Linked DNA regions of Lepisosteus oculatus. The protein of the gene in region 1 purifies or fractionates together with the protein of each later gene. This does not show direct contact. Links are inferred from orthologs where the notes say so. Each region holds a gene or a part of one and is shown in the gene's direction. Other genes may lie near its edges.

Evidence for each region.
Region 2: the proteins of mtmr2 (region 1) and mtmr12 purify together in Homo sapiens (affinity purification with mass spectrometry; 5 studies listed by BioGRID and IntAct, with this or other methods). This does not show direct contact. The link is inferred for Lepisosteus oculatus from reciprocal best matches to the Homo sapiens genes MTMR2 and MTMR12.
Region 3: the proteins of mtmr2 (region 1) and sbf2 purify together in Homo sapiens (affinity purification with mass spectrometry; 3 studies listed by BioGRID and IntAct, with this or other methods). This does not show direct contact. The link is inferred for Lepisosteus oculatus from reciprocal best matches to the Homo sapiens genes MTMR2 and SBF2.

Annotation. Positions count from the first base shown.
Region 1 is NC_090700.1:12,220,554-12,227,636, reverse strand, and holds the start of mtmr2 (myotubularin-related protein 2), read left to right. Parts: upstream 1-4,054; 5' UTR 4,055-4,232; coding exon 4,233-4,309; intron 4,310-5,005; coding exon 5,006-5,108; intron 5,109-5,689; coding exon 5,690-5,713; intron 5,714-6,359; coding exon 6,360-6,435; intron 6,436-6,811; coding exon 6,812-6,906; intron 6,907-7,083. UniProt on the Homo sapiens protein: Lipid phosphatase that specifically dephosphorylates the D-3 position of phosphatidylinositol 3-phosphate and phosphatidylinositol 3,5-bisphosphate, generating phosphatidylinositol and phosphatidylinositol 5-phosphate.
Region 2 is NC_090698.1:39,906,987-39,915,000, reverse strand, and holds the start of mtmr12 (myotubularin-related protein 12), read left to right. Parts: upstream 1-4,977; 5' UTR 4,978-5,101; coding exon 5,102-5,170; intron 5,171-8,014. UniProt on the Homo sapiens protein: Acts as an adapter for the myotubularin-related phosphatases. Regulates phosphatase MTM1 protein stability and possibly its intracellular location. By stabilizing MTM1 protein levels, required for skeletal muscle maintenance but not for myogenesis.
Region 3 is NC_090716.1:9,379,285-9,387,330, forward strand, and holds the start of sbf2 (myotubularin-related protein 13), read left to right. Parts: upstream 1-5,030; 5' UTR 5,031-5,142; coding exon 5,143-5,197; intron 5,198-8,046. UniProt on the Homo sapiens protein: Guanine nucleotide exchange factor (GEF) which activates RAB21 and possibly RAB28. Promotes the exchange of GDP to GTP, converting inactive GDP-bound Rab proteins into their active GTP-bound form.

The DNA of each region.
Region 1 (7,083 bases):
TGATTTGTAAATATGAAAATTAAATGTTTTTCAAACATGTTAAAAAAACTAGCAAGCAAGGAGATGAATTTACTCATTGTATAAATTTGTAAGTGCTTGAAGTGAATGTCAATTATTTCAGAATTTTCTTAATGTTTTGTTTACCTGAAAATATTCAAATATGGTAACCTGTCATAAAACATGGAATTAAGAACACTGTTTTTATGTGAGGTGTAGCCTTTTTTAATAGATGTATTTGGGTGGCATAATTTTGTATCCCACTTGAGTTCCTGACGGAATAGAAGCATTTCAGAAACCCACAAGAAAGATTTGCTTCAGGGTTGTCTCCAGATTGGATTTAATTAAACTTTATCTTAAAGAAGCAGCCAAATAAAAAAGAAAACACGTGATTTAGTTATATAACTGCATAAGTTGTAAATTTCTTTTTTCTCTGTCCTTGTGTTGTCATTTGTACATATCTCTGTAGATACTGTAAAGGGAGTCTGTATTGGATCATTTCATTGCCATGTTAAGGACTACATTCTCAGAGAGGTGCACAAGCTGTGGGATACATGTCTTCTGAGACAGAACAAAGGCAGAGGCAAATGAATTTTTATCTAAATAAATTTCATACATTGAACAAAGCTGTGTCCTTCCCCTTCTTTTTAATAAATTAAAAAAGGTTAGAGTTGTTTAGTTTATGTTAGCAAATACTTGTCCTTCTGTCAAAATTTCACCCCAACACCATCTTCATACAGTTCTTTACAGAAGCGAGAGAAATAGCCTTTTGAAGGATTCCATATAGAGTTTTAATTTACTAAGCAGTAGTTAACCTTGAAGATTACATTAAATTAAATTTGTGTGTCATCGTTAACATCATTACATGCAATTTTGCAAGCTGTTATTGTACCTATACTATGCAGTATATGTATCCTGGGTTTGTGAATTATATTGGTTTTCAAATAATGCTAACTTATTGTAAGAGAGCATACTTATTAGAGTTTTAAATGTATTTTTCCCACATGCAGAATTTTGTACCCGCTTATTATGATCATCATTAGCTTATCACTTCCAAACCTCCAGTAAGAAGGATATAACCTACAAAGACTCCAGTAAAATCGATTTCCGAGTTTTAAAATCCACATTGCTCCCCTTGAATCCTCAAAGTGAAGCATGATCTTTTTAAGGAAAAGGAATTATGATGGCAGTGCCCCCAGAGACTGAGCTGAGATTTCAGTGGGTAGGTCATTCCACCACTGAGGAAAAGCAGAGAGGGGAGTATAAAGTACCAGGAATACTGGGAGTATAGTTGTGGTTAAAGAGAAAATGCAGAGAGCATGAGAGAAGGTGTAGGGAGAGATAAATGACTTAAGACATTAGGTATTACTGCAGCAGAGTTAGAAGAGCAAAGTACACTGATGATCTAAGCATTACTAGAGAACCATTTTCTTTCTTCTTTATTCAGTGGCCACTCTCCCAGCACTTTACTAGGATTAAGAAATCATGGAATGGAATCGATTTACTTATCCCTCCCCCAAACAGTTAAATTCAATAGTACTGCTCTGCACACTGGTAGTTTTACAAAACTTCAGCACCATGGACAGCTCTTCAGCCTTGCCTGTGAAATTTCGTTTTCACGAAGTGTTCCTACGGTACATTTTCATGCTGTCATTGTGACAAGCACTCCATATCTACTGTAGATCGAAACAAGACAATAACATTGATAACAATGGGTGTCTGTGTGTAATCAACATGAATTATCAATAGGTATGACGGACTTTGTCAAAACTGATGCATTAGCAGGTGAGAGATGGCACCCCATTGTTTTCTTGCTCAAAACCTAGGGTTATGAAAATGTCTTGTTTTGCCTGCAGTGGTAAACACAAACACATCTTGGTATAAGTATCTGTCCATTTTCTATCCACATCTTGCAATTCTGGCTTATGGTGGAGTTGGAGCCTATCCCAGCAAGAATATAATCTAGTTTTATTTGTATGAACCCTGCATTGATTCAATGTATTTAACTTATTTTTTTCCACTAACTCACAATTTTTGGAGGCCAGGAATCAGCACAGTATACCCCACTATACTTTAAATCTTTATATGTTAATGTGAAGCAATGCTGTGATTGTTATGCCAATATTTAGTTTCTGTTGCCTACTGCTTCATACAAATTCAGTATTTGGAGCAAATGACAAATGCATATTCATACATAGCAATGTACAATGCATAAGCAGAAGCTATTTGATGTATTTAATAGTTAAATATTTTGATGTTATTTACAGACCTCACAAGTAGTCTGTCTACCTGCAGTTTATAGCCTCTTTCTGGGCTCTTTTTACATAATACAGGGGTAGATTAGAATAGATGGAATAGATCAATCAGATTAGATTATTCCTAGGGTTCTGTTGTTATTGAATTGTTTTATGGATGTTGCACATTGGTGGTGGTGGAGGGGAGTCCCCATTACCTGTAAAGTGCTTTGAGTGGAATGTCCAGAAAAGGGCTATATAAACGTAAGCCATTATTATTATTATTATTATTATTATTATTATTATTATTATTATTATTATTATTATTATGCTACCTGAAGACAGATTGAAATTGCCTTCTCCATGTCATATGAACCACGAAGCTCAGTCTCTGATCTCTGTCTTGCAATCTAAGGTCATTTGGTCCTGGCTTAAACTGACAGGTTTTGAATAGTTCTATCTTAATACAGGGAACATAACTTCTTCATGAGGAGACATACTGTAATTTTGAGGCTTTTTGTCATCCTGTTTAAATGAAATATGATGTTCTTGACAAATGTTCTAGAAATTGATTTATAATGGTAATGGACCTAACTGGTATTAAAGGGTACATTATCCTTATCAGATTAAGTATTATATTACATTAAGTATAAAATAGTTACACCAGCAAGGTAAGTGAATCCAAATATTTTATTTCTGACCGAATACTACAAAATTATTATTATTGTTTAAATGGTTTAAACTTAGGGACATTTGACTTTGATATCTGCGGTGTCTCTTAGTTATCTAAAATCACCATGGAAATGGAAATGAGTAATCGGAAAGCAAGGATATAAAGAATATTGTTTTTTTATTTAACTATTGTATTTTAATATATAGTATAGTGCAGTTTAGTTGTATACTATTGGTCAATATGGGGTCCTGCCACATGTTATAACCTGTTTCTGAAAAGTCAGAAAACCTGTTTTAAACAGCTCAGCGCATGTATTACTGGGTTTAATAGGTACATTGTCATTGTTTCAAAACCTCATTTGTAAACATTTAACAATTTTCAAATTAATATATTAATTAAAAGATACAGTAATAATGACTTATACACATATATGTCACATCTTTCTTTTTTCTCATGACTTTTTATTAACTTTAATTTGTAAGAATCTGGTGAAAGCCACACAAGTATTTGTAACTATAATAGATTATTATTATTTTTATTATTATACTATTAATAATTAAGTATAATGTAGTTTCCCAACAGAACGTCTTATAAAGCATTCCAAATACATGAGATTCTCCCCAGTGCCAGTGGAGTACAGTGCCCTGATGAACTACACCGAACACTTTCCTAGGTTACATTAAAAAATTGCAAGAAGCTTCAAGTTTAGTGTACGGATGTTTTTTTTCCGTGGAAGAAACAGGTTAGAAATGCAAAGTCGGTTTTAAAATACTGCAAAGAAATCATACATTTCTAAATGTAGCAATTTTATAATATTAAATTGTATGCCAATTTCGCATTAATTTTACATCTTCGAAAATAAGTGACTTGCGTACTACAGTATTTATACGAAAACTACAGTATACAGTAAGCATGATTAAGACAAACGAGGCGGTTTTTCATTTGCTCCATACAATACAAATACAGTAACTTTTATTATTTAAAATACGAACAAAAACCAACCAGAAATACAGTGTTTGTTAAAGCCTACAAAACAACACGTTTGTTATCAGTAACTGCAGTACCACTACACTGTACCAACACAACTCAGTTACACAGAGCTCCTAATTTCGATTCCCTTTTTCTGGGATGTAAACAATCCCCACCCCTCACTTTTCCAGGCACTCTGGGTAAATATGGCAGCTTCCTGTCTGCATTACAGCTTTCTGCTGTGCTAGGGTCCATTCTGTTCTTTAATTTTATTTCTTTCTTATATTTCTGTTACTTGAATTTCGTTCTGTTCTCTAGTTTGGCATTGTATTCAGAGATCATAACGAAACATAAAAGACATGGAAAAGAGTGGAAGCACCGATAGCCTCGGATCCAAACCGTCCTCCAGGCAGCCCAGTGTGGATTCATTATCCAGGTGGGGGAGCTCAGCTACGTACAGATTGTTTTTGCAATGTCATAGTCTGTAATAACAGCTGTTATCCTTCTGGAACACTTAAATTGTATTTAACCGTACTGAAAATAAACCATTGCAATGCTCATTTCTGAGATTTCCAGATGTTGTTCTGTTCGTTACGGTAGCTGTAGCATCGCGCTCACCGCAATTACTGTCAACTTGGATAAATCATTACAGTACATCTTCACTTCCACAGGCTAATCGTCTGCGCGAAAATAACGTTCTCTGCACTGTGACATTTTGAGTAATCTTCCTTATTTTTTTAATGAGAAGTAAAATGAGTTAAAAGCCCTTTTAGTTTGGCTGGTCCCGAAAATTGAAATCTGTCGCCACAGTTAGTCCGAAAAATCGAAAAGCTATAATTAAATATTTTTAAAAACATGTAAAGGAACTTCTGGGCGTTTTTTTTAAAGAGCAGTGCTTAATGTGAGGATTGTTGTCATTTCTTAATATTAATATTGTTATTAAAAGTTTCACAATTTGTCTTTCAGAACGCTCTACACTGTAGAGGCCCTTTGTAGTGGTGGTGTAGTTCTAGTGTTGCCGCAATGGTTATTGCTTCACAACTGCAGATTTTAAAAAAAATTGTAAGGGGGGGTCTTTTATTTTTTACTCAATAAATCGCTGGATTTGGACACTGGTGTCTTGTACCCGCAGCACGTCCACCTCTCGCTCAGATCGTTCTTCTCACACAAAGCAGCCCCTGACTCTTTCGTCCGACTCCGTGTCCACTTCTGCAGAGCTCTCACCAGAGCACCGGGTGTGTACAGTATATTGCTGAGAGGTACTCGTGTGTACACTCCCCGAAAGTCAGGGGGAGGGAAAGTTCATGAGGACCTTTATGGAAGGTCTTGTTAATCAGCTTTTTTCATTCACATCGCTTCTTTTTTTTCTTTGAATCTTTATTCTTTTTTTACTTTTTTTTGTGTTGTTCTGCTGTAGGCTGAAAATAAATGAAATACTTTGAGCTACTTAGAGGAATTGCTGCAAGTCTTGTAATTGTAATTTTCTGCCTTTATTGTGTAACAAATATATAAATTGTTCAGCCTTGCATGTTCAGGATGTTTAAAGGGAGACTCGTAATAGGATTTCCAAATCCAGTAGACAAAAACCTTTTTGTATTACAAGTGCAGAAAATTCAATGTACTTTTAGTATTGTAATGAAATTTCAAAGGTAATATTATTGTCATTAAATCTGGTTTCAGGCTTTAGGTTTCTAGGCATAAAAGGTCAAGTAGCACTTTAAGTCTTACAAGTCAACACTCATGATTGTTTGATATTTTTATGCTGATATTCTCATCGTTTCTTTTAGATTTACAGACTTTTTTGTTTTCTCAACAGGGTAAAAGCTTTCTGGAGGTCAAGGTAAAGCACTCAGTGGTTCATTTTGACTCTTTGCTGTCTAAGGTCTAAGAAGTGGTTCTGAAACAATCTGGAATGTTCCAGTTCTGAAATTCTCAGAACTGAAAGTCATAGGTCTCATGTCCTGGCACATGAAGCCAATGATACCAGTCTTCCAAATACAGGAATATTTAACTATATTAATTGGACATTATAGTTATTACTGAATTTCACTGTTTTCAGCCACCTGCCTCCTTCCTATAGGGACACACACCTTATGCTAGAGATACATAATGCTTTGTAATATATGAGTTTTGTGCAATTTAAGTAAATGAATGGAGCCATTTAAATTGGGGATTACTCACCGCGTGTAAATCACACACTTTGTAAGTGTTACACATTGCTAAGTCTTTACTATTTCTTAGTCTGTCCTCTTAATGTGGTGGTATTGTGATGTTGAACGTGCTGGTCAGTGGTAATGGTACATTTTCTAAACTCTGCCTTGATGCTGCTTGTTTCGTGATTTTAATGCGTTGAGATCCTAAAGTAAATTTTTTAGAATGGTTTTTAGAATACCTTCTTTGGGACAGTGTTCGTCTGCTTTTGCTTTATGCTCTCAACGTGTGGCATGCAAGCTTTGTGAATGACAGCGCTCTTGTTTTGACAATAGGTGCTAAGAGAGGCTAGTAAATTGGCTCAACTGGAAGAACCTCAGTTACTACCAAAGGAATCAATACAGGATATGGGTAGGTCTTCCAGTGGGTAGCCTTCAATTTGGACATCTTTTAAAGATGGTGACTTAGAACTGGTAATGAATTGCTTTGCAATTGGTAATGAAAATGCCTTTGATCTCTCTTACTCAACATTTATTAGCATGTTACCTCTGTTTTTTGTATTAGTATACTAGTAAAAAAGCCCATATTTTCTTTCTAACATGGGCTGATGTGCTAGTTCATGATTGCCTCTGCGAATTCTATACCTTTTATGTGCTTCACTACAAGTCCTTCTTGGGTGTCTTCACTTATATGTTTTGAAATTCCTGTTTCATTTCTTGTTGAGATTTTACACATTACGTTGTTCAAGTCCTTATTATATCCTGCTTTGTGCTCCTTTACTTTGCAGCTAAAGATGTCACTTATATCTGTCCCTTTATTGGTGCCATAAGAGGAACGCTAACTGTTACTAACTACAGACTGTTTTTCAAATGCATGGATCGGGTAAGATTGGCTCTTTTTTATAAACTTTTGTTTTTCTGTGTTTCCATACATAAACATAAGAATAGAAGACAGAAAACCATTTAGCTTGTTTGTTAGTAGCTATGGGAATATACAGTTTAATCCATCTTCCATAGAGAAGCCCGCAGCTCAACTACCTGGCTGGTACTACTGTTCCAC
Region 2 (8,014 bases), on another chromosome or scaffold:
AACCTTGTTTTTTGTAAAATTACAGGTAGGAAACTGAACATATAAAACTAATTTGGAAAAATCAGTTTGCAAGAAAGTTGACAAGCCATTCTACTAGACCAGTGGGAAATTGTTTTGCAATGGTGATAACACTTATTTTTATTTTGTGATGCAGACTTGTTTTTCCCATTTGGTCTGGCTTGTGTTCCACCTTTCCAACTATTTTGTCTCCTTTTAGCCGATTCAAAGTCTTTTCCATTGACTAACACAACATAATTCTTACTGCAGAGCTTCATGCTGCTGTGACTTTTTCCAGCAGCAGAGGAATTCTGGATCTACCAGATGGCAACACATCCACTATCGGCCATTTCCTTGTACGTGTTTCGTTTAATAAAACAATTGTTTGTAATAACTCATAGCTGAACCTTGTGGATATAACCATTGTATCATGTTTCCTTTTATTTGGGTGCAACAAGAGCAGCAACATTCAAGATCTCATTACAAAGAGTATTTTTGTGGGTTGATAAAATACAGAATTCTCAGAGGTCAAATAGCTGTCTGCAGAAGGATATTTCATGAAGTATTTACTCTGAAACAAAGGAAATGTAAAAATTAAACAAGGTCAATAACAATGGCAGTTGCAAAAAGAAAATCCATGCCACATTGGGTGGATATGACAAGGCATTAAGAGAATGTCACTTACAGGTCACATTTTATTAGCAGAGTAAAAATCAAGTTTGTTTCAGAAAACCAGGTGATGAAGGAATGAAACAGAGCTTAAAAGCAATACAAATTGATGTAATGTTCACCAAGAAGAAATCAACATTTTTTTCAGGATATGGGACAAAGCTCGATATCAAATAATACTAGCAGATGCGTCAGATGTGCTGTTGGTAATAGAAGCTCTTAAGATGAATATATCTCCAGGGTCTTATGGTATTCTACCAATTATATTTAAGAAAACAAGAGATGCAGTTCTTAAGTCACTGAAGACCGTGGTAATTCAGTACCCATTAACTGAGAAATTGCTAATGATAGGCCCATTCATTAAAATGGTAACAAAAGTGAAAAATTCTGTTATGCACAACATTATGGAAATGATAATTAGTATTAAAATAAAGGATAATCAATGTGGAAGTAGGATCCTGGGGGATATACAACGCAGGTTAAGAAAAGGTTTTTGTGGTAGGATGGTCTATAGAGGGGAAGCAGTATCAACAGACCTGCCACTAGAGGCCTCCAAAGGGCCTAAAAAATGATAAAATAGCTTTTCATGGTCTGTTATTATATTACCGGTTAGAGCCATGACAGCATTCTCAGATGGGGTTAATTAGTGATTTGTTAATGTAAGTATATGCAAATGTGGGTATTGGTTGGGTTGAAAGTATTGAGGTTAAAATGCCAGCTTAGTTTAGGGGTGTTTTTTTTAAACTGCTCAATGGACAAATTCTGGCCAAAGATGGAAATTACGGTACAAAACCTGAGTGCTGTCCAAACATCCTGGGACACTTTGGAGAAGAAAAGAGAGTCATTAATGCGTTAGAACCCAACCCTGCAGCACAAGCAATGTGGCGGTGCATTGGGAGATCGGGTGCCCTATAAAACTGCCACGACCTTTGGATATTGTGTGAAAGGGGCAGGGGTCTTGCTCGTCACTGGTTTGAGGCAATTGAAAAGCATTCAGAATAGCGTGGAGTTGAAGTTGCTGTGGCGGGACTGGAGTGCCCCATGACTTCTTCAAGACAGCCTGCAGTAGTACCAGACGTCCCCAGCCCTGAGAAGAGAAGAAGGCTTGCCTGTATTCGCCATTCAAGGGGGCAAGGGGTAAGGGGTAAGGGTTCCACTGCTCACGGACTCCAGTAAACAAATCTCAGACCACTTTCCTCTTCTTGCGAGGGGTACTTGCACCCTAAAACATTTTCCATCTCACAGACAAGGACAGAATGCTCAAATTGGAGAGATGCAATTAGTGGAGTACAACAGGCGTCTGTATTAGGACCACAGCTCTTCCTAATTTATATACGTGATCTGTATTCTAATACAGTTAACAAACATGTGACATTTGCAAATGATACAAGAAACAAAAGGATTAACAATTGCAGTAGACCTTGAAACGGAAATTCAAACATTTAAGATTTAAAAATAATTCAAGACTCAAAAAACACCAAAAACATAACATTTAAAATACAGAGTACTAGAAAAAAACATAAACTATAGCTTTATAGTTATTCATTATATATATTTCTTCAATACAAAATATTAAACCTGGGTAAATTACTTCTAAAAGACTTAATTGTTTACAGTATGTTGACTTTGAGATAATGCGGAGAAGCAAATAAAAAGGTAAATGGGAGATACTGGGAAAATCATAGAATTTAAATCAAGGCATGGTATGCAAAATTGTACATCACTATTATGACTTCCTTTAAAATATTGTGCTCACTTTTAAGGACCGTGTTATAAAAAGAGATTTTGTTGCTTTCTCCAGATAAAGAACAACCAGACACATTTCTGGGCTTAAAGAAATGTCCTTTTAGTCTTTAGACAGAGATGACTATGATGGGACAAATGTTCAAATCTACAAAGGCATTGACATACAGTAGTCAACCCATATGGCTTCTTGAGAATTAACAGTGAACTCCTGTATGAACCAGAGGACACAGGTGGAAACCACCTGAAAGTGAATTTAAAAAAGAACACAAGCTTTTACCCAGGAGAAAAATAAGAGTCGAGGATGTGTGAAACAAGCTACTGAGATGTTATTGAGGCTGATTCCCTCACGTCTTTCAAGAAAAGGCTGAAAAGTATATTTCAGAGAAGGATTTTGGTCTTTCGAGAAGTCTCTACCTTACAACACCAGAGTTAGAAAACCTGAATCAGCAAATTTCAGATTAGGAGTTGAACTATAAGCATGAAAGAAACACAAAAGTTACGCTTTTGACTTTCTTGTCTGATTTATTGAGTGATTATGCTTTATATGTAAGCAATTTATTTAGTATAGGAGTTACTTAGTGATACAAAGTATTCAGTACACAAGCTGCATAATTCTGGACATCCTGAAGCTTTTAAGGCAGCCTTATGACCTTATTTTTTTAAACTTCCCTATGCACTAATGACCTTGAGAGTATGATATAGCCAAATCAATATCATAAAGTACATTCTTGTACACATTTTTATCCAACTCATCTGGGACAGGTGCTGGGGAAGCTTCTGATCAATCCAGAAACCAAACTAAGGGCTGGTAAATCAATAAGATAAATTAACTCCACGTTAACAGATAAACAATAAACAGCCACATAATTACATGCACGATTAAAAGAGAGCTGGAGAGTTTCTAGAGGCCTTATATGTAATAAAGGCATATCTCCTGTTATGCCACATTCTCTAAACTCCTTCAAATCCAGACTCAAAACCCTCTTCTTCAGAAAAGCCTTTACTTGCCTTAACTGGTTCCATTCTTCACCCCTCTGCTTTTCTTAGTACCACCATCCACAGTCTCCTCTATATATAGTAATTGTGTTTTATCTTGTGTATTCTTCTTATTTATTGTTCTTGTCATCCTGTAAATCACTTTGAGAAGCCACCTTTAAAGGCACTATATAAAATAAAGTTTATATTATTATTAATTATTATTATTATTATTATATCAAGAAGAAAGTAACAATCTGTATTCAAGTTCATATATTTAATTCATTTTGGGACATAATAATTGGACCCTTACCTCACAGGAATTCCTGACCCATCCTCCTATTTTCAAACCACTTCCATCCAGTACAGGGTTGCGCGGGAGTCAGGTCCTATCCCAGCAAGCAACAGGCGTAAGAAGATTTACGCCCCAGACGTGTTGCCAGTCCATCACAGAGAATTCCTTATGCTAAATTAAATTTTACAATAGACAGAGAATGGAGATTTGAAAATATTGCAGTGTTTTTAACAAGGTTTCTAGGACTACTTGAACTCAGAGAAAACAAAAAAAACAACAGTAACCTTTGAGATATGCTTATCTGCCATTAAAACATACTTGTATATAGATAGTTCACCTTAGAATGAAAGAATGGGCCTCTAATTTACCTTACATCACCTTATATTTTGTAAGAATGATGTAAGTGCACTGTCTGGCCTCCACTTTTTTGCAAACAAATTTTCAGATGTTTGTTTTTAAATATATGATTTAATTGGTTATTTTCAGAAACGAAAAGTCTACAGCCCTAGGATTTTTGTTTCCACATTTTTTAACAATGCAATACTTTAAAAAACACATCACCAAGTCTAAGACAAAAATAATGTTTTTAAAATAGACATACAGCTAAAGTTATGAAATATACCAAATATTGTAACCATGTTTATTAACGTTCTTTTATTTTCCATTTTAATGTATTATATTGGAAATACATTTTGTTAATTACATTCCGCATAAATGGCAAGAAATGTCGCCGTGATAATATGTGCTTATCAGCTCCTTTTGCACTTAGAGGAAATATAAATTCCTGAAATGGTACTTTACATACCGTTCACCGGATGCGAAAGGAATTTTTAAATTATTTTTACTTGTTTAAGTATAAAACTACATTTATCCCTGAGTCCTTCTTTATAATGAAATGTAAACTCTGGCGAAAAACTTGTCAGACATAAGCTGTTTTTGAGTCTTGAGCTACTCGTCCGGTTTGGCACAACTGTTTCTCCGAATTTACTTGAGACCGCTTTAGGGCGTTTTGTCTGTTGATATTCCCCAGCGCAGATTCTCAACGTAATAGCCCTTTCGAGAACAGAGGAGGAGGAATGCTACCTATCTAGCGAAGGAAAATGAAAGATTACGTAGCAGAGTGAGTGATACAAAAGCAATTCTGCGATTAGAACAATTGTAACAGTAGGTTCGCCCTATATGGAAAAAAGGAAGTTTTCTGCACAGAAGGGGCTGTCCAGCTGAAATAATTGACGCTTTTTCTACCCAATAGCTGTACGCGACCTAGTGTGGCCCCTATGGCAAAATGGAGTGTTCTCTCAAGCGAGGCAGCCAATGTGACAGCTGGAGGGGCGCGGTTTGAGCACGGTACAGGTTATTCCTGTGTTTGGCCAGGGTTACACCTGGCTGAAGAGAACAGATTTCCTCAAAGTTATCAACATGTTGGGTTTGGGAAGCGGAGGTGTAAAATCTTCAAAGCCTTCGTTTGTTTCATATGTCACCCCGGAGGTATGCATTTATTCTTTAAAAATACGTGTATCTAGATTGTATTTGTAAATGTGATTGTAAGGGAGGCAAAATAAGACAACGTTCGTCTTATTGATATTTTATTATAGTTAAATTCTACTTTTGCGCGGGGCTGCATTATAAAGTTACCATCTGCCAGTTGTTTTTTTAAGAAAAACTGAGACCTGCACTCAAAGTTACGATATCGAAATTCAAAATATAAAGCTCAGGGATACATCGCCCGTAATAACCCAAGAGTAGGTTACTTCCCTCATGTTTTGATGTTTGCTCACAACATGGCTTTTGTCAAACTGCATGGCTATACGTACTGTAAACTACCTAATCTAATACTTTTTATAAAAATGTGAATTAGTTTATCCTTGTGCTGTTCTCTCTTTATGACCGCAACTGTAGATCTTTTAGGTAAGGTTAAACTGAAATTATTGTATAATTGTAGACATTAAATGCCCCCATAACCTAAATATTAAAATGTTAATCAGGTTGTACTGTGTCATCATGAAGTTGGATAGTGTAAAGATGACTTGAGCGTCTGGCTGTGTAAACGTGATATTTGTATTTAATTTGGGATTGACTAGTCTCTCTCGTTGTGAGCCGGACGTACAGTAAAGTTGTACAGTGAAACCGTAATGTAAAAAGGAAACTTTTTTTTGCAACTGAATTTTTGTACTGTGTTTTTCTGTATGTTCTGCGTGCGTTGCGGAGCCTTAATTAGTGTATACTTATTCAAGGACAAGTATAGAGATTTTTCACGTTGTTTAACCTTAAGGGAAAATATTTCCACAGAATTCGAGCATTTCTATAGGAAGTTTCTCAAGGAAGTAGGTCGAGAGATTCTTCATGGAAATAAACCAGTTTCTTATTCATATCTTTTAAGGGTTCAGGAGAAGAGGACGCGAATTCTCATAAATGTGATTATCATGGCTTTGGTCGGATACTTTCCTGCGGTTTGTTAAAGTGTGGTAGATTCATTCTATTATGTTATGTAATTATGTTCATTTAGTAGTTAAGAGTGTTTAAGACTTGACCTACACAGTAATAGTAAATATAATTGATAGAGGAAAGAAATCGAGTGTATTTTACTTATGGTAAGTTGTTTGAAGCTCAAAAATGTTCTGGGCAGTAACCAAGAACCCTAACCACTACTCCACTCTGGCACCCTTTACTCAATTGAAGAGCATGCTCTGTAAAACGGGCTCTTAATGAGTGGTGAGATTGTATTTGTAGTCATGGGATTAAAAACCTCCATTTCCCGAAAGTTGAATGTTTGAGATCTGTAAATAATCCTGTTCAATCAGAACTTGAGATAGAAATATTATGGTTTAATTTTTTAAAATGTGACTTGTGAAGGTCCTGGGTGTCCTTTGCAGTTCTGCTAAATGACTGAAAATAATTAGCAGTGTATGTACCTGATCTTTGTCTTATGAACATGTAACCTGTGTTGGAGGGTATATGTTTCATTTCTTCTGTTCTCGAGAAATTCTCAATATAGTCGCAACGTTCAACAGAGGAGTTCCCCATCCACTCTGGTCCTCGTGTTGGCAGGGACATTGCAAGTTTTTAATCATTTTTTAGGCCTAATCAGTAACTCAGACTCTAAGGATGTGCTGCCAAAAACAAAAAGTCTGCCCAGTGAAAACGCAGGAAATGAATTCATTCTCGGTGCATTGTTTTCTTAAAAAGAGTTTATTTTTCCTTACTTGTGCATTCAGGGTATGACATCGACCCTGAGCATATTGAGAGGAATTTAGAAATGCTAGATAAAGGTTTTTGTTATCTGGGACAGAAAAGGGGAGATTGTCATGCCATACAGTATATGGGGACATAAAGGGTGCTTTGAACTTCATTGTGCTTCAAGTCTCTCCTTTTGAAAAAAATATAGAACTTTTTTTTTTACTTTTTTTTACACCCACTCGATAAAGAAAACCTGTTTGAGCACCAGGTAGTTTTTTTTTCCTCTGCGGATGGACGTGGTTTCACTTATAACCTCTATTCCCCTTCAGGGAATATTAACTACTGTAGCTCAGTTATTTAATAAAGAATCAATTTTCTTTATATTAAAAAGACAATTTAATATAAATTTAATTTAATATAAATTTAATTATATCAAATTTATTTATTGATCCTGCTATTTAATAATTAATAATAATTGCTTACACTTATATAGCGCTTTTCTGGACACTCCACTCAAAGTGGAAACTCCCCTCCACTACCACCAATGTGCAGCATCCACCTGGATCATGAGACGGCAGCCATAGTGCGCCAGAACGCTCACCACACATCAACTATCAGTGGGGAGGAGAGCAGAGTAATGAACCCAATTCATAGATGGGGATTATAAGAGGACATGATTGACGCCAGAGTTACACCCCTTCTCTTTTCGAGAAACACCCTGGGATTTTTAATGGCTACAGTATACAGTACAGTGTCCCCATCACTATGCTGGGGCATTAGGACCCAAATGGACCGCAGAGTGAGCACCCCCTGCTGGCCCCACTAACACCTCCTCCAGCAGCAACCTTAGTTTTTCCCAGGAGGTCTCTCATCCAGGTACTGACCAGGCTCACACCTGCTTAACTTCAGTGGGTTACCAGTTGTAAGTTGCAGAGTGATATGGCTACTGGCTTACTGTGTACTGTGAGGGTTGTTCCTGGCTTAATCAGTCAAAGGAGGTACAATGTGAAATTAAATGTGTTATCAGCGTTTTTTAACTAATTGAGAATAGCAAATTGTTATTATTACCCCCCTCTGTCCTCTGGTTTGGAATAGCCAATCAGTTTTTTTTCATGTCTCAGCTTGCAGTTACTCATGACTGCAGGCAGGGGAGAA
Region 3 (8,046 bases), on another chromosome or scaffold:
TAAGGGACATATTACTAGGGCAAATAGAGCAAAATTCCCCTCCTCATGGGTGCTACAGCAGAGCTCCACTTAGTGTTGCAACTACAAGTCCAGAACCCCTGAGGATAATATAGTGGAAATTGAGCATTGTCCACACTGAACAATGACGATGATGACACCAATCAGTGTAACATACCAATACAGTGAATCATTTGCTTGTTCGCAGAAGCTGTTTTTGGAATGTGAAATATGTGGTGTAGATTAATACTTCCTTTCCAATCTGAATTTTTTTTCCCTCTATGTTTTCTGCTATCTCTGTAGATAAACATACTATGCTTGGATATTTGAAATAGGAGGGTAAAGCTTTCGGCAATCAGTGGAATCCATTGTCAAATGCACTTGCAGGCGAGGAATGAAGAATCCGAAACATTAAGTGATTAAATCGGGGCAATGAGAAAAATCAAAGCCCTCACTTTCTGTACTGACGCAGATTTGTATGGCAATTCTAGCAGCATAGCATCTAACAGTACATGATCACTTCATCACAGTTGTTCTCTGCATGCTGAAACAATTTGTACCACACACGTTAGCGCTCCTAGGTTACGTCAACGGTTAATAAATAATTGTATTTACTGTATAATGTTCTTTCATGTGCTGATAAACAGACACTACAAAGCACACATTTAATCTTGGTTTCTGGTAATAAAAAAATGGTCAGGTAAATAAATGTATCAAATGCATCATAAGCAAAGGTTACAAACAAGATGAGGTTGCTAATAGCTTATTGATCAAAGGATCTCAGACAGCCATTACGTGAAGAATAAAAATAATGTTACATAGGCATAGTGCATTTGATCTCATAGGATGCCAGGGTGCTTCATAGTGTATAGAAGGAGACCCACTTCATCTACCACTGAATGAAATGGATCTCCTTCTATATGTGATGGACCTTTGGATCAGTATCTTGTGCTGAAGTGCAGCACCTGTACTGGGATATGTACTGTACAGCACCCATCATATACTGTACCAGAAGCCCAGTTGAATCAGTTGAATTAAGGAGACCTTTAGGGACACCGGGCTGTGCAGGAACAGAGGGGAATCCAACCATCACCTTGGAGTTCACAATCCTACTCTTCTGAAAAATGGCAAAGGATCCTTGATGGCCAAGTATTAAGGACACCTGTTTAACATCTCTTTCAGAGGATGGTACCTCCAACAGCCTGGTGACAGGGGGTGTACAGTACTTTAACTAAATTTCAGGAGGCTTGTACCAGAATCCTGCAGCTTGAAAAAAAAAACCCATCTACATGTACTGGAATATTAGATGAATCAATTGATTTGAAAAGAAATGGCTCTCAAACGTAGAGTTTCCTTTACGTCACTTGAATAGTGACACAAAGAAATCATGCTTAATAATCCTGACAGGATTGTTGTTGGCTTGATTACAACTGCACTTGTACTCATTTATATTTCAGTAGATTTATCAAAACGCTGAACCTTTATCGGAGTATAAAAGTATTCTATTAAAATAAGAAGTATTCTAAACCTTCTCTTCACAGTCCTGAATTTAATCCTTGCTTTAACTCTTAAATTAATTGTATATTTACACTAAGGTTACTGGACACATAGCAGTGGTTCCTGTGTTAACAAATGACACCATGACCTTCAATATTGGTTGAGATGGAAAGGAGGCAGATCCTTCCTTTTCTGGAGGATCTGTTCTGAACTGAACCAATTAAAACTTCAGCCAGGCCCCAGAGTAGCTGTCTGTATCATCTGAGTAAATAAACTATGAGAAGAATGGCTCTCTGGAGCTCTTTTCCTGGTAAATTCCAGTGTAAACATTTTCAGAGAATGTAAAAGATAACTAAGCACAATCTTCCTAGAAATATCATGACAGACACTTAAAACCAATCATTTTCTTAATTAATTGAAAAGTGATTGAATTATTGAGGTAAGAATGATAAATACACTACATTAGTCTAAATATTTATATTTGCTAAATTCAAAAGACAAATCACCAGAAGACAGAAGCATGCTGAAACCCTTTCTAGCACAATGCTGAAGGAGCAAGAGAAGAATTTCATGATACAACAAAGAAGTGTTTATTCGTTCAGTCACAAGCACTGTAATAGTGCAAGCTAACAGCCCGCTTTTTGACTCTCTAATGTTTAAGAGCTATGCATGATTCAGCCCTAACAAATTTAAGTCGTTTTAAAGCTATTCAGTTTCTGGCAAAAACAGGAGAAAAAGAGAATCCCACTGCTCCAGTGTTTTTCCACACCACTGTAATGTTTGCTATTTGTGTTTGGCAGAGCCTTCCATGGCCCTTCTGATATAAATGCTGCAGAGTTTAGAAGAGTTTCCTCCTCCAGCATGGCCAGTCTCGTGTGGTTGCATTTTAATAAGTGCAAAGACGTGGCATCCAAAGGCTCACTTTAAGAATTGAATTACTGTTTTACTTGTCCAGCATTTGAACTCGACACCACATAGTGTGAGATGGTGTAATGAGTTATAACAAGCCCAATAAATATGCCAGCACCTATGTCACCTTGCAACTCACAAATGGCAACTCACAAACTCACTGAAGTTAGCGCATGTGAGCCTGGCCAGTATCTGGATGGGAGGCTCCTGGGACAGCTGAGGTTGTGGCTGGAAGAGGTGTCAGTGGGACCAGTAGGGGGAGCTCACCCTGAGGTCTGTGTGGGTTCTAATGCCCCAGTATAGGTGACGGGAACACTATACTGTAAAAACAGCACTGTCCTTTGGATGAGACATAAAACCAAGGTCCTGACTCTGCGTAGTCATTAAAAATCCCAGAGAGTGAAAAGAGCAGGTTGGTAACCCTGGTGCCCTGGTCAAATCCACCTTGACCTTTACCAGTCACGGCTCTGTTCTCCTGCCCACTGAGAGCTGGTGTGTGTTGAGTGTTTACTGGCGAACTATGGCTGTGTCACATCATCCAGGTGGGGCTGCATAATAGTGGTGGTGGAGGGGAGTGTCCAGAAAAGCTCTATTATTATTATTATTATTATTATTATTATTATTATACATCAAGGTGAAATGGCACTGAAACTGCTGCTTAGTTTGCCCAGCATATTATTTTCAGGTCAGTTATCAGCTGTTGATATGTTTATCCTAGTTTCTGGCTTTTTGCTGTTGTTCTTTTTCTATTTTGAAATTGCTTTGGGTTCATATTCTCCCAGTTGAAATCTCAGAAATCGCTCTTCCCACAGATTTGTAAATGTAAAGTTCCAAAAAAAACAGGAGGTTTTTACAGAGAAATGAAGTGTTTTTGTAGAGTGACATTAAATGAGGGATAATGACAAATCCAGTTTAACAATGCCCTTCCTGTGTCCTGGCATTTTATCAATTAATGTTTTATCTTATTTCCAGACTCGTAGATATTGCTTTTACACTTCTCAAGGAGTCCTTAGTCGACCTCAAACCAGAAAGCCAGTCCGTGTTACTTTTGGAACTTAATATACCAGTAATAAAAGTGGAAAGTCAGCGGATGACAGAGTTTTAGGTATGCTGTTAAAAAAGCTTCAAAACTCAGGTTTTAGCATTTTTACATTTCCTAATCCCAGTTGTGTTCATCAGGAGCTTTGTCATTGTCCGAGCATGTATGAAAGTGCTGTCAGATCTTGCACCGTGCTTGTGCTACTACACGTGTACATTGAAGTGGTAAGAAAATATTATGGTGGCAGAGGATGTTTTTTATTTTGTCAAAATAACCTTATGATTGCTATGCCAATAAACTTTATTAGGTGTTAATGTCCCAAAGGAAACTTCCCAGCAATAAATCAAGGGCTGATTTAAAGGCCAACAAAAACAGGCTGCCGTCTGCAAGGTGCTGAAGCTGAGGAAGTAAAGGCAGCAGATGACAGGCTTCCCTAAGGCTGATCATTACACATTACACGCTTTACAAGCACCCACAGTGTGCATACAAAATGTTTCACAAATGTTTATTGTGGTATGCTATGGTAAAAGCATGGTAAAACAGTTGTAAAATTGGGGGTACTGCAAATTAAAGTAAAGTAAATGCATGCAATGTCCTTGGGTATTGTCACGGATCGTATTTACTGTGGCTAACCCCTTTAACAAAAAATTAGATTGTGATATGAGATATTTACTCTGTAAATGACAATATGAACTGTACAATTTAAAGTATTTTTATATCACGGCAACTGAAGAAGAACATCTGTAGGCAACCGTTAAAAAAATGTGGAACCTGTAAGTATTTAAGTACAAAGGGTTTATTGTTGTTAGTTACCTAGAGACGTGTCATTGACGACCAGCAAAGGTTTTTCTTAACGATATTAAAATAAACTGACACGGGCTCCTAAACATTAAAAACATGTGTGAAAACCCAACTCTCTTTTGTGCCAAAGCCATGGGATATTTGGCCACAAAATAACTAAAAATAAAATCATAATTTTATGGTCCTGTCAGAATGTTCTACGTTGCATCATTAACGCAGGAGAACTGGAAAACAACGATTTGCTTTAAGTTAAAGCACGCATATGGCACCAACATGGTCCACATACACCTGCTTTTTAAGACGCCGCTTGCTTTAGCATTTAACTTGTACTAAACAACATGCAGCTGCTAATGACTTGCTAAATAATTGAAGTCATCCTTTCACTAAAGAAATGTTATTTTGCTCGCCAAAACATTTCCATGTCCTGTCAATGCCCCAACGACACCACATTTTTACGGCAGCCTTCAATTTAAACCAAAGTACTTTTAAAAAAAGATTTTAAGGTTGGCCAGCGCAGATATTCCAGAAAAGGAAGCAATTAGTCTTGCCTACTGTAATTACATCTTGCGTTTCCAGCAGGAAACGTTGTTTTAACAAATCAATGCACAGCTAAAAACTACCCTAGTATTCTTAACGTTTGCGCTTATTTACAAAATGTGACTGTGATCGCTAAGTGTTTTTTACATTTGTGGAGGACGGCGGGTTGCATTTCCTTTTTCTGCAGAGCCTGTGATTATACAGCACGAATTTGTGTTTGTAAACCCAGACGGCCCACGCCCATACAGGATCACTTACAGCACACGCAGGCGCACTGCCCTTACTTGTGTCAAACATGGCTGTGCTTTTGGAGAAAGAAAAATGCTGAATTGTCTTGGTAGAGGTCGTAAATCGAACCAAACATGGCGAGGCTGGTTGATTATTTCATTGTCGTGGGATACGATCATGAAAAGACTGGTGAGTTTTCGAAAAACGCAATTCTTTACGTCCTGGAAACACCGGACTGCTCTTGCGAAGGGGGGATTCCTCAGGCCGTGCAAGTCAGTGGGTTAATAGGATACTGTGGTATCCAGATTGGATGCTTTGGCACTACGTTACAGTGTATTGTGTTTTGTTTTTAAGAGGGGTTTGTTTGTTATTGCTCAGTGCTGTAAAATGTAACTGTACACCGCAGGCAGGAGGAAGAAAAAATTGTAAATATAGTTTTTTTTTCTCTTCTTTTTAAGTAAATGAAACTTTACTGGAACAATTCAGCCTGTCACATCCTGAATGAGTAATGAATGACGTGCAGAGATTATGTTTAACAACGCTTGGAATTGACCATAGTAAGACAATAGTGTCTGTGCTTACTAAAGCCCATTCTTGGTAAAACAAGTAATGTACGAAATGGAATTTCAGTCCTTACGTTTTCTAAATACAGTTACTTGTATGCCCACCTACTGATTCGAGGATCTAGGACTGGTATAGCGATAACAAAATAAAAAAAAATGATCCTCTATAATTTGAGCAAGGTACTGTATATAGCTAAATTGACATATATTTAGTCGTGAATTGGGTGCATTTTTTTAATTTTGAATGTCTTTCTTTGTGATTCATTTTAAATGCTTTGCTCAGCATTGTATTTGCAACCATCATTGCCTACTGCATCTTGCGGATCATTTAAAATGATCTTCACGGCCCAATAGGTTTTAGTTGACTGAACTGGGCATGTTGGCATCGTGTAAATACATAGATTAAAATATCGTTGGCGTTTTGGTAGAGGATCGTTCTATAATTTTGGAAACGTTTCCTGTTTTGTGCAAGGTAGCCACTCTTTTCTGTGAACAAAGACGAAAACAGGTACAGTATGGAGGAAAAAAAACAGGTAGCAAGGCCACAGGTGTTTCCAGTGTCATTAGCTAACGGTTTCTGGATTGCTGATTAGATCAAGCATGATTTACCTACAAAACAATAATAAACCACACACAGGCTTTCACACATTCACTGAAAAGCAGAATCCGGAGAAGCGTGCACCCCAAATCTTATGTGCTCTGGCGTTTTTATGTAATCGTCTTAAAGAGCATGATCTTATAATCATGGACACGCATGACACTTGCTTGCAGAAGTCATCTGTCGGTGTTAATGGGTTGTGGCGATGGAGATGCATGACAGAACCTTTGTAAACTTAACTGTCGGGATTCCCTAGGATAGTTAATGTGAAGCACCGGTGCCCGCGGGGAGTTTAGGATAGGAATTGCTGAGGTCAGATTGGAGCAAATTCAATTGTCACGGTTTTTTTGCTGTTAGTTTTAAAGTCTGCCCTGAGTGGTTTGCCCCTGGTTTGACTGATGAATCAGTTTTGCGTCGTGTCCAAGCTCTCTTTAATTTTACAATCTAAACACACCGTTAAGAGTTTGACATAAAATACTGTAACACGAACTGTTAGGGAATTAAATCATCGGTGATTAAAAAGCACTGCCTGTTGTTTGGGGGGGGGGGGGGGGTTATTATGATATTAGATTTTTTTTCTTTTGTAAACAAGAACAGCAACATTGAAGCAATGCATTTTTATTAACACATCGCCGTGTCAATTTCTTAAGAGGTTGTATTTGTGTGTGATCTAAATCCCAATAGTTCTGTTAACTACCATGCAGGCATAATATACAATATCTGGCATTCCTTGTCTACGTACTGCACGTTTGACATTTTTTCTTTATCTGGTTTTAAGTGAATTTGACAGGATGTGGTAGAACTCTTGAGGTTTCAGCGTAACAGTCAGAAGTAGCTGTGGGTGTTATAGAATCTTTTTGTGGTTTTAAATGTGTCACATTTTTTTAGATAACCTTAATATTCATATAGGAAACAAACACCTGTACTTTTATGCTATTGTTGCTGAACGTTAAGAAACCTCCAGTTTATAAAACTGTTTTGATGATTTACATGGCACCATTTAAAACTAGAAGGCAAACCTAAGCACAGCACACCTAATCTAGACATAAAAATAGCTGTATCTGCAGCTCTGCAGATGCAGTTAAGCATTTATAGTAATTCCATTTGCCTATAGCCAAATGCCCCTGCTGGAACTACAGGAATCTGTCCTAAGATGCAGAAGAATTGTAAAAGAAGGAATCCAAGTAAAGGAGTTTTTTTGATTAACCGGAATCAGCAAGTTGAAATTCCAAAGTGAGATTATAGCAAATTAAAACCCCTCAGTGTCACATAAAAATTAAACCCATTTCACTTTTGGATTAAATCTTAGTTCTTCTGTGTGAAGTGCTTTCGGATCGTTTGGGATCAAAAGCACTTTACAAATGCAAGGAATCAAGGAATTATTATTATTATTATTATTATTATTATTATAGTCCACAGGTATTTTTTCAATAATATTTAAATAATATGGTGGTGTGTTACGTGTGAAAAAAAGTGGGAATTTAAAGGTTAATTGTTCTTTCCAAGTGTGTTTGTTTAATCTCAGTGTTTCTTAGTGCCCCCTTCCTCAGTCTTTCTTTCATGCTCAACAGAAGCCATGCAGAATAAAAACCCTCATCAGTTATTCTTTGTTGAACCATTACAACCATAATCAGAAATGACCGGGTACATCTGAACAAAATGGTCATTGTTACTGGATTACAGTAATCCATTTCAAAGTTTGAATACTGTACATGGGTCAAGTGGATTTAGGAACAAGTCTTGTTCTTGTCACTGATAGCTAAAGTACTGCAATAAAAAGAGCAGTTTGCTTTTTGGTCGTTCCTTGTGGCACATCAAACAGCCTTTTGCCTTGGAGGATGTTTTTTTCTCCCTCCCTAGGAAAGAGGAAACAAGTA